Arabidopsis thaliana: one gene and its partners. The protein of the gene in region 3 interacts with the protein of the main gene of each other region in a pairwise test. Each region holds a gene or a part of one and is shown on either strand. Other genes may lie near its edges. The genes, in order: VOZ1, NAC020, ZFP10 and MYBL2.

What was found.
Region 1: the proteins of ZFP10 (region 3) and VOZ1 interact in a two-hybrid assay, tested with the Arabidopsis thaliana proteins (one large-scale study listed by BioGRID).
Region 2: the proteins of ZFP10 (region 3) and NAC020 interact in a two-hybrid assay, tested with the Arabidopsis thaliana proteins (one large-scale study listed by BioGRID).
Region 4: the proteins of ZFP10 (region 3) and MYBL2 interact in a two-hybrid assay, tested with the Arabidopsis thaliana proteins (one large-scale study listed by BioGRID).

What each region holds. Positions count from the first base shown.
Region 1 is NC_003070.9:10,024,979-10,034,066, forward strand, and holds VOZ1 (vascular plant one zinc finger protein), read left to right. Parts: upstream 1-4,104; 5' UTR 4,105-4,289; exon of another isoform or gene 4,290-4,695; 5' UTR 4,696-4,734; coding exon 4,735-4,965; intron 4,966-5,085; coding exon 5,086-5,235; intron 5,236-5,332; coding exon 5,333-5,849; intron 5,850-5,938; coding exon 5,939-6,501; 3' UTR 6,502-7,012; downstream 7,013-9,088. Other genes in the region: AT1G28510 (Optic atrophy 3 protein (OPA3)), read left to right, coding at 170-256, 797-961; AT1G28530 (deneddylase), read right to left, coding at 7,149-7,267, 7,368-7,488, 7,571-7,801, 8,156-8,341, 8,696-8,806. UniProt on the Arabidopsis thaliana protein: Transcriptional activator acting positively in the phytochrome B signaling pathway. Functions redundantly with VOZ2 to promote flowering downstream of phytochrome B (phyB). Down-regulates 'FLOWERING LOCUS C' (FLC) and up-regulates 'FLOWERING LOCUS T' (FT).
Region 2 is NC_003070.9:20,276,729-20,284,172, reverse strand, and holds NAC020 (NAC domain containing protein 20), read left to right. Parts: upstream 1-3,220; 5' UTR 3,221-3,283; coding exon 3,284-3,440; intron 3,441-3,592; coding exon 3,593-3,861; intron 3,862-3,978; coding exon 3,979-4,458; 3' UTR 4,459-4,666; downstream 4,667-7,444. Other genes in the region: ICDH (isocitrate dehydrogenase), read right to left, coding at 1-17, 175-284, 364-407, 605-653; AT1G54320 (LEM3 (ligand-effect modulator 3) family protein / CDC50 family protein), read left to right, coding at 6,380-6,467, 6,711-6,769, 6,871-6,945, 7,023-7,136, 7,236-7,306.
Region 3 is NC_003071.7:15,825,093-15,832,549, reverse strand, and holds ZFP10 (zinc-finger protein 10), read left to right. Parts: upstream 1-3,765; 5' UTR 3,766-3,929; coding exon 3,930-4,844; 3' UTR 4,845-5,134; downstream 5,135-7,457. Other genes in the region: AKR4C8 (NAD(P)-linked oxidoreductase superfamily protein), read right to left, coding at 1-9, 309-359, 448-555; AT2G37750 (uncharacterized protein), read right to left, coding at 1,285-1,533.
Region 4 is NC_003070.9:26,793,030-26,800,590, reverse strand, and holds MYBL2 (MYB-like 2), read left to right. Parts: upstream 1-4,061; 5' UTR 4,062-4,364; coding exon 4,365-4,404; exon of another isoform or gene 4,405-4,574; coding exon 4,575-4,701; intron 4,702-4,787; coding exon 4,788-5,208; 3' UTR 5,209-5,539; downstream 5,540-7,561. Other genes in the region: LPR2 (Cupredoxin superfamily protein), read left to right, coding at 367-603, 1,731-2,855, 2,926-3,255, 3,337-3,390; AT1G71020 (ARM repeat superfamily protein), read left to right, coding at 7,486-7,561.

The DNA of each region.
Region 1 (9,088 bases), on a different chromosome or scaffold from region 3:
CTATGCTAATAAATTAAGATTTCTAGTTTCTTCCGTATTTCCCATATCAATTTAGTGGATATCTTGCATGGTGTCAAAGTCAGATAAATTAAAAAAAATAGCTGGTCTGAGTGTCATTCTTGTATACAATTCTAAATTGTTCTGTAGAACTAATAGATTATATGTGCAGGTCGGTGGAGCTGTTGTTGTTTTTGAGGTGCAGAGAAGTTCGCGGTCAGAAGCAAGAAAAGAGGAAGCACGTAAGCAAGAACTAGAGGTACACAGAATACTCTTGGAAGATAATTTGTTGCCTCATTAAGTGTAGACTCCCATGTGCTGTTCAGGATTTAGCATTGTTACATACTGACACTGTTAGTTAATAGAGAGTGGGTTGCATATAAATTCATGAAATTAGCAGATATCATGCTCAGGAAGAACTTAATATAAACTCGCTTAGATAAATGGTTTTAAGGAAATGGTGGTAGTGTTTTCAGATTCCCAACTCAAGACTTCCTAAAAGTTGCAGCCTGTAGAATTGGTTCTCATTCCTTGAAGTCGTGAGATATCCGTCTTATTTAAAGGAGCTTTATAAATATGGTTACTTCTTGCGCCATAGATGGAAAACAATTATCAACATATTCAATGTATGCTCACATTAACTTGAAATCTGCAGTAACAACTAAATAAGAAAGCATTTCATTAGTTAAGAACCGAGCAAACTTGTGTGCTTGTTCTAACGAGATAGACTACTCAGAAATATCATGTTGAGGTTTGATTATTGATTAGGTTGAGATTTGTGAATCTCATGGTTTTACAGGAGTTGAGAATAAAAGATGAAGAACTAGAAAAGCAAGTGGCAGATCTCAAGAGCAAGCTAGAGGAGCTTGAACAACTTGCTAAGGCACGAGGACTGAGCGGTATTTTCCAGTTAAAACCACAGCCTGGTACTACCGCTAGTGGGAAACCAGACAAATCCAGTTGAATCATCATCATCATCATCTTATTCAATCTAGAAGATTCAAACCAAAGTTAACAATACGGTAATGATTCTTTTTCACAAGAGTTGAGGAGTTTCTGATTCTCTCCTCTATATACATGTACCATCCATCATCAAAAACAATCTGCTTTTAAATTATCAAATTAGGTGACAAATAAAAAAAGTTTTGATGTTGAGGTTTTGTCTTTTCAACATTTGTTGCTTAGATTTGGTCTTTTGAGACCAATGGCTCGATTTTAGGTAATGTTGGATAATGACGAATTCATTATGAAAGAGACATTGAGATGTACCAAATTACTTCTTTCTCCAGATTACAAAATGTACATCATATTTATCCATGATCTAATAAGGTCAAAACTATAGCGACAACTAGTTTGGTTTTGTGGTAAAAGGCGATCAACTCTTACAAAAGAATAATGTCTTTATCACAAAACGATTTCATTTTAAATTGGAGACGAAAGGAACCTATGGGTATGTCGTTAGGTTTATTCCACCAAGAGTCTGAATACTAGAATGAGAGAAAAAAGTTAGTAAAGAAAAAAGTGAGAATAGCTGTTGGAGGTAGAGAAAGGGAATATATTATAGGGGGAACAATCATTTGGGCAAATGCTTAGAAATTCCATAAAAGCATATCATGTTTTCTCATAACGACGATCAAAAAGGAAAAAGACAACACATCGATTTATAAAAACGCATGCTACTTATGATGAGCTAGTAGAAGTTTATGTTGTGTGATATAATCTTAGGAGATTGTGGTAATCAAAATGGGCTAACTCCTTCAGCTAAAGTAATTTATGAATTAGCTTAGTACACTTCGTTTATAATAACTCGAATTTAAATCATACAAAGAGTTAAATGATTTTATCTTACTATTTAATATTAAAAAAGTGATACATTTACCAGACGTTATAGTTAAAACAAAATCTAAATAAAATAGTTTTGGAATTCTAAATTTACACCAATGCACAACAATAAATTATATTGATCTAAAATCATGGAATGATCATAGTCTAAATTTATCCCATTTGAGAGATTTAAGAATAAAAAATTTACACACATTAGTAATAAGTAGTTAAGTATATTTATTCGGGACAAATTTTCGAATTTACCAGACGGTTAAATCGTTATGGTGATGTTCTTCGAAGCATACAATTTTCGTAGATAATTTAACCTCGAGAGTGTAACAATTTGATAAACATCATTTTGTTCGTTTTTTCCAACATGGGATACATGCTTTCTTCTACCATTAAAGTATGGGCTCGACGTTAAGCATCATCTAGTTGAGCCACTCTTATCCCTAGCTTATTTTGAATTTGAGTTGGATGTTTTGTCACATATGATATAGAAATCTATTATGGTGACATTGAATTCACCTTGGAGACCTTAAAGAAAAGAAAAAGAAGGAAAAAAACTTCTCCACTGTCACTAATTTGGTCCGGATCAAAGATAAAGTGTAGTGGTGGACCGATCTATATTCCAACCAGGGATATATAAGATGTAAGGTGCATACTCAAAGAAAATATTGTCAATAATTGGCTGTTTAACTGTGATTAATATATAATCGTACTCAGTCAAGAATTGGTTGTTTAAAATTAGTGGAGATATTATTTCTTATAACCTAGTTAAAAGTTGAATTTGAATATTTTTTTAGAGTTCATACGACGAACATTATGTATTTGAAATGAGAATAATAAGCAATAATAGATAAAGAACGATAGAATATGACCATTGAAGAAATTGAAAGTAGATGGTATGATGAAAATTGATGAGCATCACAAGATAGGAATATGGAAAACATAGTGGAGAAAAGCTAAGTTATATTCCTTCCTTGCCAATATCTCCTTCTTTTACACCTTCTTGTATCTTAAAAGAAAATAATAATAACTTAGTATTCACGACACTTGTCCAAATTCTTTACCCAAGATTCCTTTGTTATGCTTGTTTGTTTTTTCCTCCAAAAGTAATGCAAATTTACATTAGGTACAAACAATCTCATTGTTAAAACTCATTGAAAGGATATAAGAAAACAAATGGGTCCAAATTATTTTAAGAAATGACCAATTGTCAAGCGCAACCAAAATTACGGTTATCAATCTAATTGACTTATCTTGAAAATATAATACGTTACATTTCCAATATTCCTTTTTTATTATCAAATTACGTTACATGTAGTCGTAGACTTGAGCACTAATTAGCCGTTGAATCAAAATCTTTAACGTGGTTCTACTACGATGCTATCATAAAGTCTATGTCAATTTATCAACAAAATATACATTCTCGAAAGAAATGTTATCATGAATCGTTTTTTAGTTTTTTTTTCCTACGACTACAAGTACAGCTACGCAAAGTTGCAAACCACTCCCCTCCATACACATTAACTTGGACTAAACCCGATGATCATACAATGTCACAAATTTTAGCGTTACTACATTAGTCTTAACATTTTCTAATATTTGCAAATGTTCCATCCCTAAAATGGATGGTAGTTTTAATTTCAAAGCCTTTTTTTACACTTTTTTGTTTGGTATTTGTTTTAATTTTCTCGTATGTATAAAATTTGCTTAGCTTTAGCCTATCTTGAATTCTATCATCGCATATTCGCATGGTTATATTATATCTTACAAATCGTGTGACCCAAACTCTGATTTTGGAAAAATTCTTGGCGACTTCCCTAATGTATTACATAGTCTAAAGAAAAACTTAAATTTCTAACTCAAATAGTATTTAAATTTCCTCAAATAAGGAGCAAGTAGTGTATGGAGCCAATAGCATTGAAGAAAATGCCTAATTTTCTAAAGCATATGTGCAACAAAAAAAAAAAAAAAACATAATTGAACTCTGGTTAGTTTAGAAAACAAAACAAAAAAAAAAGATTATTTACACAACAAATAGTAAATTTTAAATGCTCATTTAATATTTCTTAATATAAATAAATGCTATAAAGAGAAAAAATGAACAATAAAAAGAAAAGAATCCATAATAAACAGTCCAAATGGCATTTTTTTCCAAAATAATCATTAAATTCCTTAAACATTTCCCCACAATTTGATAATTTTTAAATTTTTATATTTTCTCATAAATTAGTACATTGAATTTAGCTCATAAAAAAGGAAAAAGAAAAGTGGAGGGTGAAGAGAAGAAGAGAATCCAGCAACGTTTCTTTATTTCCTTTGTGTTTTTTTTTCTTCATAATCTCTCTCTTTTTATTTATTCATAATTTTTACTCTCTCCATTTCTTCATTACTCTTCTTTTTATTTTCCGGAGATTTTTCTCTTTGCCTTTGTTATTTGCTGCTTTTGCTGCAGCTACAGTGTAAGTTTGATTTTCTGGGTTCCTTCAAACTCCAAAATCTCGCGTCGCTTTTTGCTTCAGAATCGATTTGTTCTTGTTACTTCGATCTGTTGTTCTTTTTAACTCTGTGCATGATTCAATTTCGTGTTCGTAACCTGTTTTTTGCTGCTTGTTTAGTTCGACAATTAGGTAAAAAAATGACGATCCCTAAAACTTATGATCCTTTTAATCTTCGTTTAGCTACTTCGTTCGAGATCATCTAGGGCTTTTGTTGCTTCATCGATTTTGGGTTTTGATTTACTGTAAATGTTTTGGTTTTGTTTATGTAATCTAAGCATGTACCAATGATTCATGAGTGATCATGTTTGTTATAGGAGCAGAACTGATGTGAAGTGTGTATTTTGAATGTGTTTTTGGTTTTGTACAGAGAATCTTGTGTTTTTGTGGTGGGGAGGTGAGATTTCTTATGACGGGGAAGCGATCAAAGACTAATTGCAGATCTGCTTCTCACAAGCTCTTCAAGGATAAGGCTAAGAACCGTGTTGATGATTTGCAAGGCATGCTTTTGGATCTTCAGTTTGCGAGGAAAGAGAGTAGGCCTACTGATGTTACTCTTCTTGAGGAGCAAGTGAATCAGATGCTTCGTGAGTGGAAATCTGAGCTCAATGAGCCTTCTCCAGCTTCATCCTTGCAACAAGTATGCTTTCGTTTGTTTCAAATTTGCAATCTTGTTGTTTCTTCTGACTTGCATGGGTGATTTAGTTTTCTTTGTTGTTTCAGTCATTGTTAGCTGTGTCATTTTGTTTTGCTTAAGCAGGGTGGTACTCTGGGGTCTTTCTCATCAGATATTTGTCGGCTGCTGCAGCTCTGTGATGAGGAAGATGATGCTACCAGCAAATTAGCTGCCCCCAAGCCCGAGCCTGCTGATCAGAATCTCGAAGCTGGCAAAGCTGCTGTCTTCCAAAGGGTGAGTTGCTCTTTAGAACCAGTTTTTAATGGTGCTTTAGTTGTGTTTGGAGTCCATTATTTTGTTTAAATACTGAGATCGTGGTGAAAGTTTTCAGGGATACAATTTGGTTCAGGGGAAGTCAGAACATGGATTACCATTGGTTGATAATTGCAAAGATTTGTCCTTAGCAGCTGGTAACAATTTCGATGGAACGGCTCCTTTGGAGTATCATCAGCAGTATGATCTGCAACAAGAGTTTGAACCAAACTTCAATGGTGGTTTCAACAATTGTCCCAGTTATGGTGTAGTAGAGGGTCCTATACATATCTCTAATTTTATCCCGACTATTTGTCCTCCACCCTCTGCATTCTTGGGTCCAAAATGTGCTCTTTGGGATTGCCCTAGGCCAGCTCAGGGATTTGATTGGTTCCAGGATTACTGCAGCAGCTTCCACGCTGCACTGGCTTTCAATGAAGGGCCACCAGGTATGAATCCGGTGGTGCGTCCTGGAGGTATCGGCCTAAAAGACGGTCTGCTTTTTGCTGCTCTTAGTGCAAAGGCTGGAGGGAAAGATGTTGGTATTCCCGAATGTGAAGGAGCTGCAACTGCTAAATCTCCATGGAATGCTCCAGGTAGGCTTTACTCTCTTGGAATTCATTCACAAGTATGTTAATTGATCACCATTCTTGAGCTGATCATACTCAAATCTTGATGACTGTAGAGCTCTTTGATCTCACGGTTCTGGAGAGTGAGACACTAAGGGAGTGGCTATTCTTTGACAAGCCAAGGAGGGCCTTTGAGAGCGGGAACAGAAAGCAAAGATCTTTACCAGACTACAATGGTCGTGGTTGGCACGAGTCACGTAAACAGATCATGGTCGAGTTTGGAGGGCTGAAGAGATCTTACTACATGGATCCACAGCCTCTGCACCATTTCGAATGGCATCTTTACGAATATGAGATCAACAAGTGTGATGCTTGTGCCTTGTACAGGCTCGAGCTCAAGCTTGTTGACGGGAAGAAGACTTCAAAAGGCAAAGTCTCAAACGACTCAGTGGCTGATCTGCAGAAGCAGATGGGAAGACTCACAGCTGAGTTCCCTCCAGAAAACAATACCACTAACACCACCAACAACAACAAACGCTGCATCAAAGGAAGACCAAAAGTGAGCACAAAAGTCGCCACCGGGAATGTTCAGAACACAGTAGAGCAGGCAAATGACTATGGAGTAGGTGAAGAGTTTAACTATCTGGTCGGAAATCTAAGCGACTATTATATCCCCTGAGACGAATGTGGAAAAACTCAGGTTTAAAAAGCTGTTTGCTTACCATTTAATTAGGCAGCAGCAGAAGAAGCTTCTACATATCGTAGGGCAAAGTAATGGATTTTCATGACTCGTATCTTTTTTTTCTCTTATATAATAGTTCTCTGTCTATCTATGGAGATTATGTATATATAACAAGAAGTGGATGCTGAAGACTGTCCTGGAGTTAGGAATAGTAAATGTGACGAAGGAGACTGCTTTTTAAGATTCAGTCTATGGAGGTGAAGACATATTTACTGACATTCCGGTTTATATATTTTGATGCATTTTCGACTCTCTTCTGCGATATAATGCAGATGACAAATTATGTAACCGATGGGGAAATACGGTTTTGAGTATCAGTGTTGTTCTTATAGAATCAGGACCTTGTTCAATGAGATCATTGCTCTTACTTAGTCTATGTTTCAGATTTGGGGTTTTGTTAATAAAAATTCTCTGCAGAGCTTCAAAATCTTAAGCATCGTTTCAAGAATCATGTAATCACGTTCTCACTCTTCTTAAGATATTTGCATATCATAGACGCCAAGTGTTACAAGCAATCAATCAAATCATATTCTACATATATTGTACTAAAATTCATCTAAAGAGAGACAGGAACTTCGCTATGCTTATTGTGGCAATAATGGTCTGACCAATGCAAAAGGACGATCTGAATTCACAGACATTAATAATTCCAACACAACTACTTTTTTGGGAGGGTGACTCTTAAGACCAGGCTCAATCAGCCCTGCAAAGCAAAGAATGACACAACACATAATCAGATAAACTTAAAAGGATACGAATAGCATTGAATTTAAGGAATTGAAAGAAGAACCATGGTGTGTTACCAGGCTTGAGTTTTTTTCCTCCATAAAGTTCTCTAGCTAAAGGATTAGCAGCCCAGTGATTCACAGCCACCCGGCTTGTCGGTTGGAACCCTATGATTTTACCTTCGGATGATAAAACTACCTGCTTCCATTAAAGAACCAGACGAAGATGAAGTAGTAGTCCACTTAAAAGAATTCAATTCATCATAATTCACTGGAATTACCTGGTAAGTAGCGATATCTTGCGCAGATGCCTTTGCGTCTTCATTGAGTATTTCCAGAAGAGACGAGCTTGTAACAATGTGATCTTCAACAGACTTAGCTCTGCTGGTTTCTTTCAAGTAGTCAGGTACTTCCCCTATCCAGGCACCTATGCTGCTTTCTAGTGTGATCTCCCCTACCCAGCTGTAGGCATCCTTGAGCTTGTTGACGAGTAATCCGCAGAATGAATCCAACTGCTCATTTGAGGTTTCAGAATTTAGTTTCCGAGAAAAACAGGAAAAAGCACCACAAAAAATAATAAAAGGTTGATCTCATTCTCTCATTCTCAGTATAGAGAGTCCATACTCATGCAAAAATTATTAACCAAATAACATTAGACATGAAATATATATAGGTCTTGGATTGTCTTTACTTTTTGGATGGGTTAACTTATTCATGGCAAGGGATTTACAAAAAAAGGCTGCACCAGTACTTAATCTTATGTGATCATCAAATGAACTAGAGCTGTCCTGAAAAGCTATTAATGTCTACGTGCAATTGTTGTCGTACACATCTATATGAATACAACGTGTTTTGGTAATCCATACCTCAGAGGAATCTGAAGATTGATGAGATAACAATTCACTCTCTGACCATAAAATCTCTTGGCGTTTTCCGGGATACTTCCTCTCGCTTTTCTGAGGAAGACAGAATTGGGCTGCAGCACTCACAGCAAGAAGAAAAATTCCACTGGCCATGGTGACAGATATGAATTTCAACAAAGACAATCCTTTCTGTCAATAGAGAATGAGCAAACCAAAGAAGTGAACATAAGTTTGACAGGTAAAAAGCTACCAAAGAAGCCAATCTTATTAACTCATAACATGTCTCCAAAATAATGGTAAAAACTCTAATAGTAAACATTAATATATTCTGCAGACTACAAATATATTTAACATATTTCATCAGGCAGCTGTAATGAAGCACACAATTAGACAGAGCAAGTGATTATCATGGAGAATACGGATTATATACAGACAGTAATATAGCAAGGACTGGCAATTGGTTCTGATTACATACACAATAACAGACACCAAAGTATAATATCAGAAAGATTGGCTAAATTTTAGCAGTCCAGTAGTCATTACCTTTTCATTGGGTAAGTTTGCATAATTTCCAGGAACATCACATGGTAGCTGTTTCCTGGGAAGTGAATATGTGTCTTCAAAGTAAATATCCAATGCTTCAGCTAATCCAACCTAAGAGTTTTATACAAGTCTCAGGAATGTAGAGGCCTCAAGAAATAACATGCACAAAAACAGACACCTTAGTCACCACAGAGCACACAAAATGCAGCAGTACAGGAAATTTTATTCCCATGATTGATAATATTCTTTCATCTTGCTAGGTTCATTCCCACACAACATATCAGCATCTCGTTAAGTGTATAGGTAAATGGGAATGACAACTCTTATGACGGATTCAACATTGTCTAAAGACGGTCTATCCATAAACTTTGAACAACATTCGACGTCTTTATC
Region 2 (7,444 bases), on a different chromosome or scaffold from region 3:
TAATAGCCACATTATACCTTCACACAAGAAAAGAAAAGAAAAAAACTTTAAGGCAGACAATATATTCTGAAACCAATAGCCATGAACAAGCTTTATTCACAGAACAACCTCAACACTAGAAGCAGAAAGCATGGAGAATATGATATCTAAGTATAAAATGTAAAGACGACATACTTTAAAGTAGCTTCAGCAGTCTCTATAGTAACCTTATCATCAGTGAAATCGCGGTTAGGCAGTCCAAGATCAAAGTATTTGATATCCAGCTCCAGGAAAGGGAAAATAAGCTGCAAAATTCTCAAGATTTTAATCACAAAAAGAATTCAATCTGTGATTAAAGATTTAAAAAAAAGTTAAGATTTTTACCTTGTCTTTGATGAATTTCCAGATAACTCGAGTCATTTCGTCTCCTGCTTGTGCACAGAGAATAAATAAAGAGTCAAGTTTCTGAATTTATTTCATAAAACTATAACATATAGAAGAAAAGAAAAACCCGGAACAGAGCCGATCACATATACTCCAATATAAGCAAATCAATCAATCAGAGTAACGAGAAACCCATAATCGTAATCATAGATTTGAGCTAATTGACTGTTCGAACACTTACCATCCATTTCAACAACGGGATTGATCACCTTGATCTTCTCGAATTCCATCTTTGCCCGCAGAGGTTGGTAATGATCGACGAGTGAAATTGAATAGTGAAACGATCACCTCTGCTCCGCCATGAAAGACAGACGATAACAGCTCTATATCTCTATGTTGGGCCACACTCTTCCAAAAGCCCAAATAATCAAGCCCACTTATATATGGGCCTGATTCTGCAATTTGAAACCATGCTTCTCTTTTTGTATACTAGCATCATCTTTGAATTCCCCGCAGTGATAGTCAGCTTTAACAGTAATCATCAAAATCTTAAAATTGAAGAAGATCTGCTTTGGCTAATTGATTGAATAATTAATCAAAATTTGAGATAACAATCACGAGGTGGTCCTGTAGGATTAGTATATTAAAAAGAGTAATGAGTGTGACCACTTTAACAAGGGTAGAAATGAGATTTAATGCATGGAGAAAAGCAAAAGGCAAATAACGCAAATGTTTTTGGACAGTGACATTGTTCTTCTGCTATAATTGAGATGCGTGAAAAAACATGAAAGCAAGAATCTCTAGAGACACAGGGATTCCAACTTGTATTATTTAAAGGCTTTTCTTTTTTCCTTGGATCAGTTTGTTTAGCACAAACTAATATGAGATGGAAAAAAAATATGTTTTGGAAACCGACATGTAGGGAATCAGATGCTACTTTTTCTGAACAAGACTCTTCTTCTCTTTTAGAAGAATTGTGATTGATGTTGATGTTTAAGATGATGTATGATCATTTTATTAACAAACCAACAAAAAAGGGATGATGTATGTATTATCATGATACATGATACATGTCAACATGTATATCGTATGTATGTATTATCATGATTCCCCCATAGAGTCCCGCCTTTGCCAATTTCGTCATGGATATATATACACGTAAAGTTTGTTTACTATTCATTTAATAATGTCACTATTGTGTTACGTCTAATTAATTAATGTTTATTTGATACTCTAGATATCAATACTATAAGCTTGAGAAAGAGTATAGGTACTTGATACATGTGAAATGGAAATATAAAAGGGTTGATAAGATAAGATGCTTAGATCTTAATTAGCTTTATTCGCTTCCCCTTAGATCGTATCAAAGGTTGCATGTCTTTAGTTAGGCTTGCATGTTAGCTTCCTCGTTGTCTTTATTAATTAATTAATCCACATTCCTTTTGCATTTGTGATACAACATTTATATATATAGTCACATTTTTTTTTATATATAGTACTCACATTAATTACTTGTTCATATAGACTTAGACTCGATTTGTGACCAAGAAAAACAAAGTGGTGAAACAATTGGGGCATGTCTTGTTGTTGTCGTTTGATAAGTTAAACTGTTAAAGCATCTTTCGCCAAAATATTTTTCAGTTGCTATCTTTTGTTTTTTGTATCTGTCACTCTCTCTCTCTCTCCCTAAGTTATTGGTGACCACATCTTAAAGCTTCCCTAAAATGTTATTGTTATTTCTTTCTCACGGAAAAGGGAGAGTTACTTACTTGAAGTTTGAATATTATACTTTATAAGAATGGAGGAGTTTTATATATGTCGCAACTTGTGGACTCCCTCAGTATTTGATCATTTCCTTACATAAAACGTTTGATTACTTCATTCTGTTAAATTCCGTTTACAATGTTCTTCGTCTACATGTGAATTATATATATTAGCAAACGAAAAAAAACCATGTAAACGAGACATCTAATATATGACATGAGTTATATATATCATACATGTGAAGAATGAAGATGTCCTTATTTTTTTAATTTATCTTTTGGATCGAGGCCGAGAGTCGAGGCAAAAGAGATTTGACCGGAAGTTAGTAAAATTGAAGGGCCGAGAGAAAGAGAGTCAAAGATTGTGTGGGAGTAATGATGTAAAAGAGCCGAACAACGTCTTTAATCCATATGTAAAAGGGACTAAAGAAGCCTCCCAACACTAAAGCCAAAGTCGACTTGGATGCCTCCTGCTTTTTTATTCTCCCATTTTTTAATCATATATATGAATTCAATTTATAAGTATTCTTATTATAAGACCATAACAACATAAAACAATATAACAAAACTGTCAAACCGAAAAAAAAAGAAAAGAAAAAGCCGAGTGTTTAGGTGTCGCCAGGTAGATTTGGTTTGAGAAGAAGAGATGGGTCCCCTAAACTGTTGAATCATAAAAAGCCTTCATTTTTGGTTTAAAGCAAACGTTATAAAAATCCCTCTATAATGATTCATGACCCACGTTAAGGTCTAACCGGAATTATAAGCATATACATTCATATATGTGAGTATTTGTGAGATGGGGCCTTCTTGCTAAAGCTTTTTCCGTCTCTCCTCCTACTAGGGTTTTCACACTTGCAGAATCTTCAAAAGCCAGAGTTAGGTTTTTATTTAAAATATATATATTGGTTTTAGAAAATATGTGTGATGAGTATCATGACAAACACTGACCAAAAAGCAACCCAAAGTAAGACAAAATATTAATCTCAGAAGATGCCAATCCCATGGCATACTTTTACACATTCCCATATCATATCTTCTTCAGAGTCTCATCTTTTTAATTATATATAGTCACCTTCATATGTCGTACGAACATCCTAATCACTTTAATTAATCTCTCTCATCTCTTTCTCTCTCGTTTTCTAACGCATACACTTTGAATGGCGCCCATGAGTTTGCCTCCAGGATTCAGGTTTCATCCCACTGATGAAGAACTGGTGGCTTACTATCTTGATAGGAAGGTCAACGGCCAAGCCATTGAGCTCGAGATCATCCCAGAAGTTGATCTTTATAAATGCGAGCCATGGGACTTGCCTGGTACGATCCAACTCTTTATATCTCTCTCTATATATGGTTCAGCTTGTTTATGTCAATCTGACGTTATAGATTACATATATTGGTCATGATGCATTCATACATATGATATTGGAGGTTTTATGAGTTATTTATTTGGATAATACGCGGAACAGAAAAGTCATTTTTGCCGGGAAACGACATGGAATGGTACTTTTACAGCACAAGGGATAAGAAGTATCCAAATGGCTCTAGGACGAACCGTGCGACCCGAGCGGGTTACTGGAAGGCCACGGGGAAAGATCGTACAGTAGAATCAAAGAAGATGAAGATGGGAATGAAGAAGACACTGGTTTATTATAGAGGAAGGGCTCCTCATGGCCTTCGTACTAATTGGGTCATGCATGAATATCGTCTCACGCACGCTCCTTCCTCCTCCTTGAAGGTAAATTATTTCCCATGCACAAACTTCTATTAACATATATATCTATATTCATTTCTGATCTAATTTTTTTTTTTTTGATAAACCATATCGACTAATATTAATGTTGATCTAAAACAGGAGTCGTATGCATTGTGCCGAGTGTTTAAGAAGAACATACAAATTCCAAAGAGAAAAGGGGAAGAAGAAGAAGCAGAAGAAGAGAGCACTAGTGTAGGAAAAGAAGAGGAAGAAGAAAAGGAGAAGAAGTGGAGAAAATGTGATGGTAATTATATTGAAGACGAGAGCTTGAAAAGAGCATCCGCGGAGACATCTTCATCAGAGCTAACTCAAGGGGTCCTTTTAGACGAAGCAAACAGCTCATCCATATTTGCTCTTCATTTCTCATCTTCTCTTCTGGACGATCATGATCATCTTTTCTCAAACTATTCTCATCAGCTTCCATATCATCCTCCTCTTCAACTCCAAGATTTCCCTCAACTTTCTATGAACGAAGCAGAGATTATGTCAATCCAACAAGACTTTCAATGCAGAGACTCTATGAACGGGACACTTGACGAAATCTTCTCTTCTTCCGCCACTTTCCCCGCTTCCCTTTGATAAATCCATATCTCATACTATCATCTAGTACTTCTTTTCTCAACTTATTTAAATATACTCGGGTACTTCATATATAGTATTTTTTTTTTTACTTGTTTTTTGCTTATGAATTAGTTTGACTGGTGAAAAAGGGTGAGGAGGTTTGTGGAATTATTTTTTCTACCACAAAAAGAAATTGCATTATTTTATTTTAATTTTTATCATTAGGTGTGTATGGTACTTAATCACTAGAGTTGGTTGGTTTTGTCATATATAGGAGGGAAAACGGAAGTAAAAATTGTGTAATCGATCGACATTACTTATTGGTTTGCATACTTGTAGACTTAAAATCTGGCATGGGCGTCATGGCAACGCAAATTTGGAAAACTTTTCGGATTATATATGTCCGACTGCGGATCAATATCTTATTTAACTATATATATGTGTTATGAATATGAAACAAAAGTTTTAAAATCTGAATGAATAAAGAAAAAATTCTCAAGAAAAGAAGCTGAAAACAAAGAAGAGAGAAAAATCGAGACAAATTTCACTACAAACAAAATAAATTCTTTATTAAAAAAGATGAGAATTACAAGACAATGATTAAAGACATCTCGAGTTTATGATACTATATATAGTTTGTGATTGATTTGGAAGATACAAACAACATTATCATGAAGAAATCTCTAGTTTATGATACTTTTAATTTAATTTAACCAAGTGATAGTGGTCTAATAGTTTTCACTTGAAGACGAATCATCGTTTTTGTCTAGGTCATACATTGATCTCTCTCAAATGCAAGATTATTTAATCATTCTTATTATACTATCCCTAAAACAATCTTACTATAAATGAATCTTTAAAATATATATATATATATATATATATATATTGCAGTTTCAAATCCAAACATATAATAAGATAATAATTTGTTCGTTTGAAATTCAACATGATCGTATATGCATAAACTTGCAATAAAACATACTAAACTTTTTAAATTTTGTATTCATCAATTAACACTGATCATAATCCCATCCTCTAAAGTATAAACTCTAGTAAAACCTCTATAAATTAATACTCGATAAATTAATAATCTCTATAAATTAAGAAATGTTTTTGGTTCCGAGTTGGGATCAGTATAAAAAGTGACACAAATCGATAAATTAATAAGATAATAATTTTTTTGAAAATCCTATATAAATATATGGTCTCATCAATATCATAAATTAATAATTATTTAAATGTATCAATTATATATATACATTATATGTAAGAAATTTCTTTGAAATATAATTCTAATATTTGTTTGCTTAAATTTGTATTTATCCTTATTTGAAATATAGTTTTAGTATTTTACTATATCAAAAACTTTTGGTGTTATTTTCTAAATATGATATTATTTTTTACTTGTAATTGATTCTTGAAAGATATTTTCTATAATGAAAAAAAATCTTATACAAATTTTTGAAAAGTTACTAAATTAGGAAAAATTTTCTATTAATTAATAAATATTAAATTATCGATAAATTAAAACCCCTCTAAATTAATAAAATTTTGCAGTCCGAACATTATTAATTTATAGAGGTTTTACTGTATCCAATATTTGAAGGAAAAACGTTCCAAATCAAAAAATTTGTAGAACTTAAAAACATTTTATGATGCATGGGAGATTTTGGGCTTCAACTCAACAAAATAGAGTAAAGCCCATTATAAAGCCCACAAAGTGGGCCTTTCATTTTGACGTCAATATGGGAATAATACCGGTTCTTTCTGTTAACGACGACGAATCTTCGTCTTCCCCTTGTTCTTCTTCTTCCTCTTCATTTTACTTTCTCTTCCCGATTTCTCTCTGTCCGATTCACCTTTTCCTCCGATCTCGGTCTCCTTAGATTCCGGAATAATCCCCTCAAGGCTTGGCTTAGTAATCGTCGTTTTCTCCGCCATGAGTTCCAATACGGCGTCGTCCAGCGCGGGGGCAGCCGGATCGGGAGATTCTTCCGCCGCTAGGAAGAATTCAAAGCGACCCAAGTGTATTTATCATCTTCCCTTCGCTATCTTCTTCCGATTATTCATTATGGCTTATCGTTGACTCTTCTGTCTTATTCGAATTGGATCAAATTCTCTCTGGACTTGCTAGTTTTTCAATAACAATTTGTTAACAGCTTTGGATTAGCTCAAATTCTTTGCAAAATTGTCGTTACAAAGATGGTTAGGGAACCATGGTCAAAGCTATGGCTAAAAGGTGTGATTTTGTTGGCAAATATCTTTTGCAGATTCGAAGTTCACACAGCAGGAGCTTCCAGCTTGCAAGCCAATTCTAACCCCTGGTTGGGTTAGATTTCTTTCTAATCTCTATTGATGTTTGAGACATCTGATTTCTGTACAAGGCGCAACTAAAAGCTCCTTTTTTTACATGTTTGTGCTGTTGTGCAGGTCATTTCGACATTTTTGATAGTCAGTGTTATCTTTATTCCCCTTGGAGTTATCTCCCTTTTCGCTTCCCAGGATGTAAGTAGTTACTAAAGCATTGCTGCTACTCATCAGATTCTCTTCCATATCTCACGTGTTTCATCTCCCATGTTTAGGTTGTGGAGATCGTTGATCGGTATGATACTGAGTGCATTCCGGCACCTGCTAGGACTAACAAGGTTGCATATATTCAAGGAGATGGAGATAAAGTTTGTAACCGGGATCTTAAAGTGAGTTACTTCTGCCGCCACGTTTGTTTTGTTCTTTGAGATTTGATAGATTTTTGCATTTGTTGTTTACTTTCTCTTTTTCTCCACTGGCATTCATAGGTGACAAAGCGTATGAAGCAACCTATCTATGTTTATTACCAACTTGAGAATTTCTACCAGAATCACCGAAGGTATATAACACTTGTTAGCAACTACGCCGTAGCATTATATAATTTTGTATTAGACCTATAATGAACAATGTGGGTTCTATGTGGAAATCAACACCGATATCATGGAGTAGGCGGGAACTAGGACTGATGTGTGTATCT
Region 3 (7,457 bases):
ACCACCAATCTAATAAATGGAAATCAATCATAGTGTGAGAACAACGAAAATAGGAAGAAAGCAGAACACATTTAGTTCCCACAAACTAAACATTCATATACCTTTTTCATTAGAAGCATCATACCAAAAAAAAAACTCTTTCATTAGAAGCATAGAGGCTACACTTACTGTGAGATTCTTGTTCCACCATGACCCTCAAAAACTATAATAAATATACACTCTTGTAGAGAATACATTTGATGACCAGTCAAATGACATCTATGGTTAAAGAGAGATAAATTAAAATATATTGTAGATAGCAAATTTACCTCTTTCTCGTTTCCGTAAATCGAAGCACAGTCGATATGCCTGTAACCAATCTAAAATAATCGACAAGAAAAGTGTCAAAGTTAAATTTTATATCCAATGGCATAATAATAAGGTCGAAGTTTGATCCGAAGGTGATACCTTAATCGCCTGTTCGATCGCTGTCGCGACCATTGCGTAGGTTCCTAGACCGACGCAAGGTAACTTGGCACCAGTGTTCAGTTCAAAGAATCGAATCGGAGCTGCCATCTCTTAAAAGTTTTCTGGATAATTCTATTGAAAGAAGAAAACTGAGAGAAGGTGATGAATATGCAAAAAAAAAACTAGATGCAGAAGAAAAGAAACATACGTAACTCGGAGAAATAGCACTTTGTTTCTTCCGCATAAAATGCTAAAAATCGTATGGCCACTAAAGGCGTTTTCTTTATAGTCAATTGTGCGTATTCATTTTCTTTTGCAGTGTGCACATAACATAATTATGGCATTTATTTCTAAAAGTGATGTACTGTCAAAGTCTTAAACAAATAGAAATTGGTTTGTTCTTTTTTTTTTTTGTTAGTTGGTTTCATTATTAACATTAGTGAAAAATATCAATTTACTTAAAAGTTTGATATTATGTCATTTTTGCATATTAATACCAAAACTAGGAAATTGTAACGTAATTAACCTGTTTTACAACCTATATACCATGAAAACATTAACTAAACATTTCATACAATTGTTCTCGAATAAACTAAATATATTCATAGAAACTTTATACAATTAAAAGAAAACACACAATTGACAAATCAAAAGCCACGAGACCACCCTTTTGGGTTAAAGTCTACGCTTAGAGAAATCAATTTTCCAAACCGAATTATTACATCAGGTTTATTAAACCGGTCCAAGCCTAACTTACAAAAAAAAAACGCACAAAACAAAAGTCACGAACCCTTCCCTCACACGCAACTTCAGGTTCCTTCAAAAAGCGCGTGTGAATCACGTGACAACCTGACGAGAAACAGGTGACTGGACTCCCGCGTAAACAGCAAACGTAGTTGTGCTTGTCGACGACGACGCCCTATTGGAGGAATTAGATCCAGGACCCGATACATCTAAATCGGATCTTACAAACCGACCCGAATCACCGGGAAGACGAACGTAGTAAGAAGAAGAAAGTTGCTGCGACTCGTTACCGTAACGGATTTGCATGACGGCTTTGTATACTAACGGAATTAGACCCTCCATTTATCTTGTTTATTGTTATTTTTGCTGTAGCGACCAAAGAAGAGCAGGTTTGGTTTTTTATAGAGCGATCAAGATTGTCACGTGGCGTCTTATGATTTGTTGCTGCATCCATAAGTTTTCTCACGTCATTAGTTAGTGTATTTAAATATTAAATGAGTTTGAATGTTAAAAAGATAAGCAACCTTTGAATGTGAAATTTGGGTATAGGAAGAATCTGAAAGCTACATTCAAACTAATATAAAAACCACGGCCGGTCCAATGGATTTATCTTCAACATAAGTTGACATAACTATTAACACATATTTAATATTTGTTAAGTTATACAGAAATTTATCAAATTAAGTTTATCCACATCCAATTTTGATAATGGTATGCAGCTGGACTGCTTTGATAATGATAAAATTTTAATTTTTGTATATTTTTTCAAATGTTGTTAGTAAAGTATACTATAGTAGTTAATTAATTGCTTTTAAAAAACAAAATTGTGCTATAAAATCTTTGAATAATGGGAAGTGTATCATAATATATTTATAAAGGTGGGGGATGTGTTTGGATTATTATAGAAAATAACGTATGATGTCAAAAGATTTGTTATATATATGATGACGTTTGACTGTTTGAGGTGTAAAAAAATAAGAGAAGGTTACGAAATTGTGCCCACTAAACTATTTGGGTATAGTCAAAATATTAAAAAGATATATATTAGCTATTGAGGAATTAATTAATCCGTTGGTATTGAAGAAGCCAATTGAGTATGATTGACTATCGTCTTGATTTAATGGTTATCTTCATCTGCCTGTATGATGACTGTGATTATATCATATAGTTCTTTATCTGATTGAAACTTGACTTTAAGGTTAACAGTAACATTGAAAAACAAAAGACCTTTCTATATATTTTTGTAACACTAAAATATTTTCTCCTCAAATTTGATAGATAAAACTAGAACATCTGTTTGTCCAAAAAAAAAAAAAAAAAAAAACTAGAACATGTGTCATTATCACGATGTTACAAATGAAGATAAAATGTCTAAAACAATAAACATCATGTCAATAAATCCAAGTTTCTAGTATTCCTCACAATTTATTTGTAATGAGTTAATCACTTTATTGTAAAGGTATGAAGACAAAAAGTTCGACAAGAAAATATTGAACTTCTTGTTTGCTTGTTCATTGGGAATAAAATCATTTTGTTCTCAAGGCAATAATCTCCTTATAGAACTAGGTTTTTAGTGGACAACTAAACTCTATACTTTGTATTCATGTGGGCCTTGTATGGTTAAAGCCCAAAACCTCGCTTGGTCAGTGTTGTTCTCATCTTTACCGATACAACAGAAAAACAAAGTAGCATTTTTTTTTTACAAAAGTATAAATTCTTTTTTCTATTTTCTATTGAGTTCGATTATGAACTAGTTTGCAGTATTTTATCAGCATGAGTTTTACCATTTGTTGTAATTCATTAAATGTATTATATATTACACATTTACAACGAAAATAGACATAAATTAAGGTGTTGTTTTTTTGTTCTAAAAAGCTTTTTACTCTACAAAATAAATTTTGATGTAACATATATGGCGCTAAGCCTAGAGCTCACTGAATATGCCTTACCCAAAATTGTTTTTTTGGATCAGCCATTGTATATAGTCATCCATTTAAAAGTCATAAAACGTTTCAGTCCCTTGAATTCTCTTGTTTTGTTATAAAGTTAACAATATATCCATAATCACAAAAATCAGGGATGAAATAGCATCATAGAAAATATTTTGGTTAAATGAAACAATTTAGTTTAATAATAAACTATTATATTTCATTTAATAAAATATTTCTAATAAACTAAATTCTTGAAATGATATTTCATTTAGCAAATATATATATATATATATATATAATCCATTTTACCGTGAGGATATTTATAATTGGTTTCAAAAAAAAATTAAAACAGATATATGTACTACATTAATTACAATACTATAAATTACTGTATATTCAAGGAAAAATATTACGTTCATTTGCGGGTAGCCACTTGGAACAAGCAAACATAAAAGATTTAGATCAGTCCGCTAACTTTTACTAAAATCCAAAGTTCGTGTCATCTTTTTCTTCATAAAATCCCTACGGTCCAATTATTATTATTATTATTATTTCCCAATTAATTAATTAAATAAACTATAATTCCTTTGATCGTTAAAAAACCTCCACTCGTTTTGGTTTTAATTTCTTTTTATATAAAACATCTTGACCTCCATTATTTTCATTACACCATTCTTGATCTCTTCCGTAATCCACCACCTAATATTAATCATCTAGGGTTCCTCTAACCAACCAAGAAAAAAAGGAAGAAGAAAGGTTTATTCTAGGGTTTGTATCGTCAACTTCTGATCAATATTGTCATATACAATGGAGAAACCTGGTGGCTTCTGGATCCCCAAGAAAAGCAACAAAGAGTCATCTTGGGAAGAGCTGGCCTTTGCAGAAGACGATGCCGCCGGATCTTTGTGGCCGCCAAGATCTTATACGTGTAGCTTCTGCCGGAGAGAATTTAAATCGGCTCAAGCCCTCGGTGGCCATATGAACGTTCACCGAAGAGACAGAGCACGGCTTAAGCAAGCCGACGACCAATACTTATTCCCCAAATCTTCTTCGTCTCCAGAGTATCCATCTCATAAAGATAGCGATAATATTCATGAAACCTCTTGCTATACTTTGGTTTTTAACACCAAACCTAATTATTTTAAGACTCAACACTCTTGTGTTATTGATCTTTCTTCGTCTTCTTCTTTACCATATTTGACTCCTTCTAGGGTTTCTTCTGGTTTGCCTGGAAAGCAACATACTTCTTCTTCTCCTCCTTCTTTCGTTGTAGAACCTTCCAAGAACTCTAAATATATTCCCTCTTCTTCCCCATGGTCGTGCCCAAGTACTGTTGTGGAGCAAAAGAGTTGTGATCTATATGAAATTCCGGCTATGGAAGGAGAAAAGAAGAGAAAGACTGAGAGTGATGTGCCAAAAATCGGGCATAAAGCAAAACTTAGTCTTGGAAACACCACTGATCTCTCGGTGAGTATGAATCTGGTCATCCACCAAAGTTTTCCGATTACTGCTCACGGTAGCGATGAAGAGATTGGTAGGGTGGATATCCGTAAAAGAAGACGAAGACATGAGAGTCCGTCGCAGCAGTCGATTTTCATTTCAAGTTTATCTTGTAAGAGTGACATAATTACAAGAAACGAGGAAAGCAAACACAAAGGTGATCGCTTTGAGGATTTAGATCTTGAGCTTAGGCTAGGGACTGATCCACCAAAAGGAATTTGATTGATGGACCGATGAATCTCTACCAAAACAAAGGTAAAGGGAAGATATATATAAATAGTAACATTTCATATGGTGAGACAAAATAACACATTTCATATGGTATGTATGTGAATGTGTATGTGTGTACTTGGATTTATCGTTCCTTCGTTTTGTGTGTCTAAAATGTACTGATGATTGATTTTTGGGTTTTATTTCTATTGTTTTATTTTGGGGGATAAATTGTATGAAAAGTTCAGCTAAAAAAAAATGGAAAAATCTAAAGGAAGTATTGAGTAGTATATGTATGTACACTTGAGGCTTGAGAACAAAATTTCATATACAATTAGGTATATTGACACCCTAAGTCATTTTGTTATAATTAGTAGTACATGTTTAGACAATGTTTCCAGGAGTGAATCATACATATGCTACCACATACCATTCATTTCTCAGCTTCTAGTTTACGACGTTGAGATATCTATTCACAGAGAAAAAAATAAAGATTGGTTAATGGGGTCAGATGAGCCCATATTATGATTCATTTTCTGGGTAAAGTTTTCGATATATATGATTTAGCTTGGATATGCAAATGACTATATGAACTCTGTAGTATATTATTTAGTAATAGTAGTATTTGAAATGATAATGTACATGAAAATACGAAACCATGAAAACGAGCAAAATACTTTTGTATATATAAACAAGAGCAAAGTATTTTGTATAGCCCAGCTTCACTACCTAGGCGATCGTTTAAATGCGCTTTAAAATCTCAGCTTAATTCGAATCTTACCGGAAAAATGACTAACTAAGTTGTTATGGTTTCCATAATAAGAATACGGGGTCTTAATAACTCTTAAGTCCGAAACCTCTTGGTTAAAAATTAAAAAAAAAGTATTGACACGTCTATACTTCCTTGAGTGATTTGAAGCATGTTGTGTAACAACAATCCAAAATAAAATCACATGAAGATGGAATATTTTCTGTCACAATTTCCAAGAAAGAGATCGAATGATGAATAATTCTCCCATAGATCTTAGTTAGTAATTTATTAAAGGAATTTCGATAGCTATAATATAATTAATATTTACGTAAAGTAGAAAAACTCGGAAGCAACTAATTATTGTTCTTTTTCCTATCATAATTGCAGGAACTCTGGCAAATAAGTTCGTAACTAATTTTGTAAAACAATAAGGAAATAGTTTAATAATGACTAATTCCTCGTTGTTAAACGTCGTTATAAGCTCGTTTCCACATACATTCGCATCTCAGTACGTAACATGCCATTCTGTCAAAATCATAAAAATAAGCATAAGAAAGAGCACAAAAATCCAAATATGTCACAACACATATTCCCTTTCGCTTGTTTTGTCTCAATAGATAATTGAATAGAATAAAATTATATACTACTCCAACCATTTAGAGTCTCTACCCTAACTTTTTAGCCCCATGGGTTACCAACTCTTCTATCGCTTAGACTTAACTTAATCTATAAATTTTCATATCGTATCTGTAAACTAGGTTTGCACTGTTTCTATATATCAAAAACCCATAACGCATTGGAAGAATCTGTTTATACTTAATTATATATTACACATTTACATTACATAAACCATAGTATTTTCATTCTTAATTTCTATCAACCATCCGGTTTCTATTGATACAACCAAAAAAACTTTTTGAATACAATAAGTGAAAGTTTTTACATTAGTGGAAAATGTTTACCCAAGTTGCTTCCCAATCCCACTACGTAGTACATTAAATAAGGTGGTGAGCTTTATAGGGGAAACTATATATAGATGCATATACGGGCAAGTATATATGATATATCTACTTGTCTAAAGAATTTTGGAGCTAATCTATTAGTGAGATTTTACTAGAAGTCTAAAAATGAAAAACAATTAGTATAGTCTCTTAGTGATTTGATTTGATATGATTTTATAGTGTAAAATATATATGTTGTATGAGATTCTAAGAAATGATACAGTGAAATAACATAGAAACTTTCTTCTTTTTGTGCAAGTTGATTTTGAAAAGAATTTAAAAACAGATATTTTCTCTTGAATGTTTTTCGATTCGTTCATGAACCCATTGGCATAAACTTCAAAGCTATCAACTAATTCTTGGTTTACCTAGCTAGGGTTTGGTTATTAGTTAGATACGCTCTTTAGATTGCTATAAATATAATGAAGTGGTCTTCTCTGTATATAACAATACATAGGTGGAAGTGAAGTCTTCGAATAAAAGCAGAGCTTCCACATGGGGAATGAATCTCATTCTCTGTAACTCACATATTTCAATAGTTAAATTAATAATTCAAATATGACAATAATCAAATATATACAATACGTGAAGGGAATTTTTTTTTGGATTCTAAGAATTAAAGTGTCACGGAATTTTGGACGATTCTTTAGATAATAATATAATGCATCAATTACTGGACAAAAATTGGTTATCAATTATTTCCCAATAGCAAGACCAGTCGACATATGTCTGTTTGAAACTAATCAACAACTAGACTTCGAATACTAACAGAAATATAATACACACAAGTACACTGGTACATATGTAAGCGAAAGTTCTACAGAGGATCCTGACAACAAGAAAAGACCAAAAATTCTTGGTTGGTCCGCTTTA
Region 4 (7,561 bases), on a different chromosome or scaffold from region 3:
CATATAATTAATGGATATATTATATACGTATATATATATATTCATTTTTTAAGAAAAATCAATACTCTTGTCATGTACATATAATATTCAAATTCTAGTTTTATAATGTAGAAGCTTACTAATTAAAAAAAAAACCATTCCTTTTTGGAAGATAAATTCTAGGAAAGTAGCGACTCAATAGTCAAGAGAATGAAAGCAAAGAACAACAAAGTTATTTGACACCACACACTCGTATGCATAAATACGCAAAACCCCAAAGAACTTCTTCAACTTCTCTCCTCAACTTTTAAGTATTCCACACATACAAACACACACACACACTTGACTTTTCTCATATAATTTCGACAGCTCGTGAAGGACAAAGACATGGAGCCTTCTCGGAGGAGAATGACCAGAGACATGTTGCTTCTAATCGTAACGATGGCATGGCTCGTAACCGGAGACGAAGGAGGCATAAAGCAAGAGGAGCGACTGTTTAATCTTGGGAAGCTTGAGATGTTCGTTGACAAGCTTCCTCATATACCAACACTTCATGGCTACCACTTCGTCAATGGCTTCCTCAAACCCAAATCTCTTCACATAGGCATGTTCTTCAAGAAATGGGTATTTAATTCTTTCCTTCTTCTCATTTTCCTTATATTCTAATTTTTGTTTCCTTGTTTTCTAATTTCTTTCCTCTATTATATATTTTCCTCTTGTTTTCTCTGTTTTCTTGAAGTTATATTTGGTATGTTATTAAATTAAATTTCCAGTCTATAGTCGTTCGTGAAAACAGATCATCTTCCATTTCTGTCATGAGGTTATAAATGGCCAAAATATTTAGATAGAAAATTCAAATAACCATCATTTAGTGATTTACACCTGTATTACATGCAAAAAAATAGACTCATTAACTTTCTTGACCAACTTAAGCCGACTAACTAATGTTGAACATTATCTCCTTAATGAAAAACATTAACATTAAATTCGATATCGTATAAGATTAGTGAAGTTAATTTGCTTTTTACTTGGCTACGGCTCTTCTTAGGTTGTAAAGTGATTAGAATAGATTCGTGTTGTGTTCACACTATTGTCCCCTCACTTGTTTGTCGTCTTTGAGAAAAAGTATTAATAATTGTATACTTTTTATCACTCGTCATGTTGAATATTATTTGCCCTTCACCGAATGAATACTCAAATTCCTCTTTGTTCATAAACTAATCTAAACTCATTAATGACAAAAATTAACATTAAATATTCGAAATCGTATAGATCAGTGAAAACTTAAGTGCTTTTTAGTTGGCTACGGCTCTTTTTTGGTAAAGTGATTTGGAATTGATTCATCTTGTGTACTCCACTCTTATCCTCTCACTTATTTGTCCTCTTGAGAAAAATATCTATTGGTTTATAGTACTGACGAATCAGTGCTCTTTTATAACTAGTCAAATTTAATATTATTTTGCTCTCCTACCGAATGAATACACATTTTTTTTATAGTTTCTATAAGCTCTTTAAGTTTTGTTCTGATAAATTATACTAAGAACATCATCAAATCTAATGATTAATTGATAGAAAGTTATTACCCACTAACTATATAATTATGATTGCTTTTCTACCACTTTGGCCTAGCTAATTGTGCTCTGTTCCTTTAAACTATTTTATTACTCTGCTAATGATTCGAATGATTTAAGTTTTTGAATTTCTCTAACTCTGTCACACACTGATATGAGTTAAATCATTGTGAAGTACAGAAATTCCACAGAGACTTGCCTGCCACGCCAGTGTTCGCATATGGTACATCAAAGCGTTCAGCAACAGTTCCTGGACCAACAATAGAAGCTGTTTATGGCGTCGACACCTACGTGACGTGGCGAAATCACCTCCCTTTACATCATATCCTCCCTTGGGACCCAACAATCTCTCCGGCAATCCCTAAACACGGCGGCATTCCCACGGTGGTTCACTTGCACGGAGGTATCCACGAACCAACTAGCGATGGAAATGCAGATTCATGGTTCACCGCTGGTTTCAAAGAAACTGGTTCCAAATGGACCAAAAAGACTACACATTACGTCAACAAGCAACAACCTGGAAACATGTGGTACCATGACCACGCGGCAGGGTTGACCAGAGTCAACCTTCTTGCCGGTTTGTTAGGCTCTTACATTCTCCGTCATAGCTCAGTCGAATCGCCTCTTCGGTTACCTACCGGACGCGAATTCGATCGTCCTTTGGTCATCTTTGACCGATCTTTTCGTAAAGATGGTTCCATTTACATGAACGCTACAGGGAACAATCCAACGATTCATCCACAATGGCAGCCAGAGTATTTCGGCGACGCCATCATTGTGAACGGTAAAGCATGGCCGAGATTAACCGTCCGCCGCCGGAAATATAGATTTCGAATCACAAACGCTAGTAACGCAAGGTTCTTCCGGTTCTTCTTCTCCAACGGTCTCGACTTCATTGTCGTTGGTTCCGATTCCGCTTATCTAGCGAAACCAGTATCGACCAAATCTGTTCTCCTAGCTCCGTCGGAGATTGTCGACGTACTCGTTGACTTTTCAAAGTCAACATCGAAAACGGCAATTCTTGCCAACAATGCACCTTATCCTTACCCGTCGGGAGATCCCGTCACGGAAGAGAACAGCAAAGTCATGAAGTTTATAATCAACTACAAATCAGAAGTTGACACGTCGATTATTCCGAAGAAGCTAATTGAATACCCTCCTGCTCATGTATCAACCTCCACACGTACACGTTACATTGCTATGTTCGAGTATGTGTCAAGCATTGACGAGCCAACACATCTATACATCAACGGTCTGCCTTACAACGCTCCCGTAACCGAAACTCCAAAAATCGGCACAAGCGAGGTATTTATAACCAAAATTTCACTATTCACTAACCGTATAGTTCAAATCTTTAATGCTTACAATAATGAAGGTGTGGGAAGTGATAAACTTAACCGAGGATAACCATCCGTTGCACATTCACTTGGGATTGTTTAAAGTATTGGAGCAAACGGCATTGGTGAAGAGTGAGGAGTTCATAGAGTGCATGACTAAAAGAAACGATGCCGTCAAGTGTGAGATTAGCAAATACGCACGAGGGAACAAGACCGCGGTTACGGTACACGAGCGGGGATGGAAAAACGTATTCAAGATGATGCCGGGACATGTAACGAAGATACTCGTTAGATTTTCTTACATTCACTCAAACGAATCTTACTCCTTTGACGCAACTCAAGAGCCAGGCTATGTTTACCACTGTCACGTAAGTTGGTAAAATACTAAAAAGTTGATGACGAATTTAGCTTTTTCTTTTAGAACTAACTGTATGATATTGGCATTGCAGATATTGGACCATGAAGACAATATGATGATGAGGCCCTTTGCAATGGTGCTATAATTCTAAAACGAAAACAATTTACAATTACGAGTGCAGAATACAAACGAGTTGATATAGATTGAGATTTCAGATTACATAAATATCTTATACAGAAAGTGTTAAAAGATAATTCGATTGGATTGATGTTATATCTCTATCATTGTTTTTCACTTGGCCTCGGAGATTAGAAGCAGCTTGTTAATGGGCTTTTAACAGTTACGGGCTTTAACGGGCCCAATAACAAAACTCTTTTGCTTCTTATATGATTTTGGAGTAGATGGTAAGTGAGATAGGGAAGTGGTGAGTGAAATTAGAAAATTCCTCGTATACAAAGTCCTAACCACCAGTCAAATTCAATTGAATGCTCCCATGTTTCTCCCTTATCTGTTCCTGAACCTACACTCTTTAATTTCATGGTTTCCTATTTTCTCTTAATTTGTTTATTTTCATGTCATATTCGGAAGCTTCAGATATTTTATCAAATAATGCATCCAAATAATTTTGAGCCACTAGTCAAATATCTTCTTCGTCTTCTTCTTGCTTAATATATATTTTAGTGAATCTATTATTGATACCACACACACATCTTTGATATTTCACAAAAGGTATCTATCGGAGCCGTACATATATTTTACGAAAATGTGGATAAGAGCGAGATTTGGATTGGTATTGGTAAGGCAAATTAAATGCGACACACTTCCACATTCATGATTCCACAAATTCTAATGGATTTGAACAAATATGGGACCAATTTTTATTTGTTTCAACTCCTAAATGTGGGACCAATTAACAAGGTTGATGTATTCTTCTTGTTCTTCCTCGTTCATTAATAGTTTGATTGAGCATGCACGCTTCTCTCAACCCACCAGTCCAAGTCAAACCTCCTCAAGCCATCCCCTAATCCTATATATCAGTTTCTTCTCGCAAACCACCTCACAATCTATCAACAGTTTTAAAAAAAGACATAACTCAACCAATCTCACTTTGAAAAAGACATGAACAAAACCCGCCTTCGTGCTCTCTCCCCACCTTCCGGTAACTATTTTCTCTTTAAACAGTATTAATCATGTGTTTTGCTATTCACATCACCAAATTATTCATAGTTTAAAGAGGTCGATGTAGAATTCATAGATATACATGTGTACATACGTGACTTTGTGACGATATATCGTTTTAATTTGTTAAATTTTGATCCCTTCTCTTAGGTATGCAACACCGTAAGAGATGTCGATTGAGAGGTCGAAACTACGTAAGGCCAGAAGTTAAACAACGCAACTTCTCAAAAGATGAAGACGATCTCATCCTCAAGCTTCATGCACTTCTTGGCAATAGGTTCGTATTCATTCTTCTTATTCTTTAATTCAATAGTAATGTGAACGGTACGTGCTAATAATCATTTTGATGTTATGTTTTTTCAGATGGTCATTGATAGCGGGAAGATTGCCAGGACGAACCGACAACGAAGTTAGGATCCATTGGGAAACTTACCTAAAAAGGAAGCTCGTAAAAATGGGAATCGACCCAACCAATCATCGTCTCCACCATCACACCAACTACATTTCTAGACGTCACCTCCATTCTTCACATAAGGAACATGAAACCAAGATTATTAGTGATCAATCTTCTTCGGTATCCGAATCATGTGGTGTAACAATTTTGCCCATTCCAAGTACCAATTGCTCGGAGGATAGTACTAGTACCGGACGAAGTCATTTGCCTGACCTAAACATTGGTCTCATCCCGGCCGTGACTTCTTTGCCAGCTCTTTGCCTTCAGGACTCTAGCGAATCCTCTACCAATGGTTCAACAGGTCAAGAAACGCTTCTTCTATTCCGATGAGAAATGGTGTATTTGTTTGTACACATTTGTTATATTACAAATGCACATATTATAATATTCACTAGAGAGATGGTATAACGATGTTTGAAATATGTTAATCCTGAATTGGACCGGCTGGTCATTGAACAACTATTCTCTTAAATGTCCGGTTCTGTTTTCAGTGATTAGTATTATAGTAGATCGTTAATAACTAACCGACGATAACCGCTGCTTATTTGATCAATCAAGCTGTAAGAAATTATAGCTAATACAGCAATGTTAACGGTGCACATTGACGGGAAGTATTAATTAACTCTCTTAAAATGGACAAGTATGTTCATTTTCCTCCAAACTACACTTTACTCTTTATTCAAAAGCAATTTCAAACTCTCGTTTCGCACAAAGGAATCTATAAATACGAAAATTACTTACTAAAGATATAAAGGAAGCAAATTAGTTAACTTATAAAATAATGAAATGTATCGATTTAAGGATGTCTTAAGCATGGAGACTATACGGTCAAATATGCACCAACTAGTACAAACACGTTCACATATATTTTGAACAAAACTCACAATGAATTTGTTTAAAGTATCTTCATACATGCTTAAAATAAAAATTAGAAAGTAAATACATTTGTACAACCGCTATTCAAACATCATCAAATATTAAACAAAATTGCATGACCAAAGAATATGAATGTTTGACAAGTATAGAAGAGGAGATTGTTTGCTAAGAAAATGGACCAATATTTATCATCGAAACTACAATCATCATTAAGGTTGTTTCTACGATTGCGGGATCTACAACCATCAAAGAAGTTGTTTCCACAACTGTATAAACTCTGATCTCACCTTCACTTTCATATTGTTCCGCAAGTACAACTACACCATAAATTTCAGAAATAACGGTGAGTATTGTGGTTAATGGAGAGTTGTGTGTGGATGTGCAAGCAAAAATCACATGCCTCATCAAACACTTCAAGGTTATTAATCTTCATCTGATTCAGACGAATACCCTCTTCTTTATGTAGATCTTTTTATTTTTGCATATGTCCAAAAATAATTATGAAACCAGCCAGTCAAACTTGCCAAAAATGTCTAAAAGATAATGTTGTCTATTTTTCAAGTTGCTATCGGTTGTTATGTAGGACGCAGAAGTCACGGGCATGGACGTCGGCCGATATGATGTGGATGTCGTGGTTGAACCTTTCTTTTGTTAAACCGAGATAACTTTTCAATACAAGACTGTCACAAACTATATGTAAGTCATGTTTATAAATTTTAATCAAAAGTATACTAAACTGTGGTAAAACAGTTTTAAGAAAATTATAGGTCCCAATTTGTATACATGCTTCAAATTATCTAAAATGTTGTTAAAATTCGATCTACCGGGTCATGTTCGACCGTTCCATTTGCAGGCTATATAATACTCACCAAAATTATGTTAATTGACATAATTTTTCTAGAACATTTTTGCTGTAAGAGATATTAAATTTTCTTACACATACAAAGTTATTTTTAAGGGAAAATAAAACATGTAAAGCTATATTTAGTTAATTACAAAGAAGATTTTTTCCATCTTTTAATAAACACTAGGGTAAGACAGATCATATACTAGAAACACATGTCAATACAATGCATCTAAAGGCCTGGAAATTTTATCTTAGTTTCTTTTCAAATAGAAAAAATAACTAATTTGACTATTTATTACCATTTAAGATTACATAAATAATACATACAGATAAATTTCATAACTCCAACATAAATTTCAACACAACTATAAAATACAATCATATAAGATCTACTTTACAACTAAGCACACAACAAACCATTTTCTTCAATAAATAGAAAAGTGGATTTTTTTATTGAATTTAAAAGTATAGTTCATTTCTATTATACAGTTTTGATCTAATATAAATGATAATAATTGATTATTTTTTTGACAACTGTATCATTTTCTCTTCAACCTCTACTTGCACCGTGAATCTCGCTCTCAATTATCTAGTTTGTTCTATTGTATTATTTAAATGTATCACATAAACTTTTATCTAAAAATATAAAGCCAGTAAACTAAAAAGAAAAGAAAAAACCATTTTTAGAGTTAGATAAAAAGTTTAAAACAAAAAACACTAAAACCAAAACGGTGTCGTAACAGCGACTTATCCTTTTTCGCCACATGGCTTCGTTGGATACATAAAAGCGATAGAGACGCATCTCTGAGTCAGAAGCGAGCCAGCGAGAGAGAGAGAGCGAGTCACAAAAATTCGAATTTTAAGCCGCCGTGTGAGACGGCGTAATGGCTGGTGGAGCTATCACTCCCGATTCTCTCATCGGTCTTATTGCTGAAATCAATGAGATTCCGGGGAATTTTG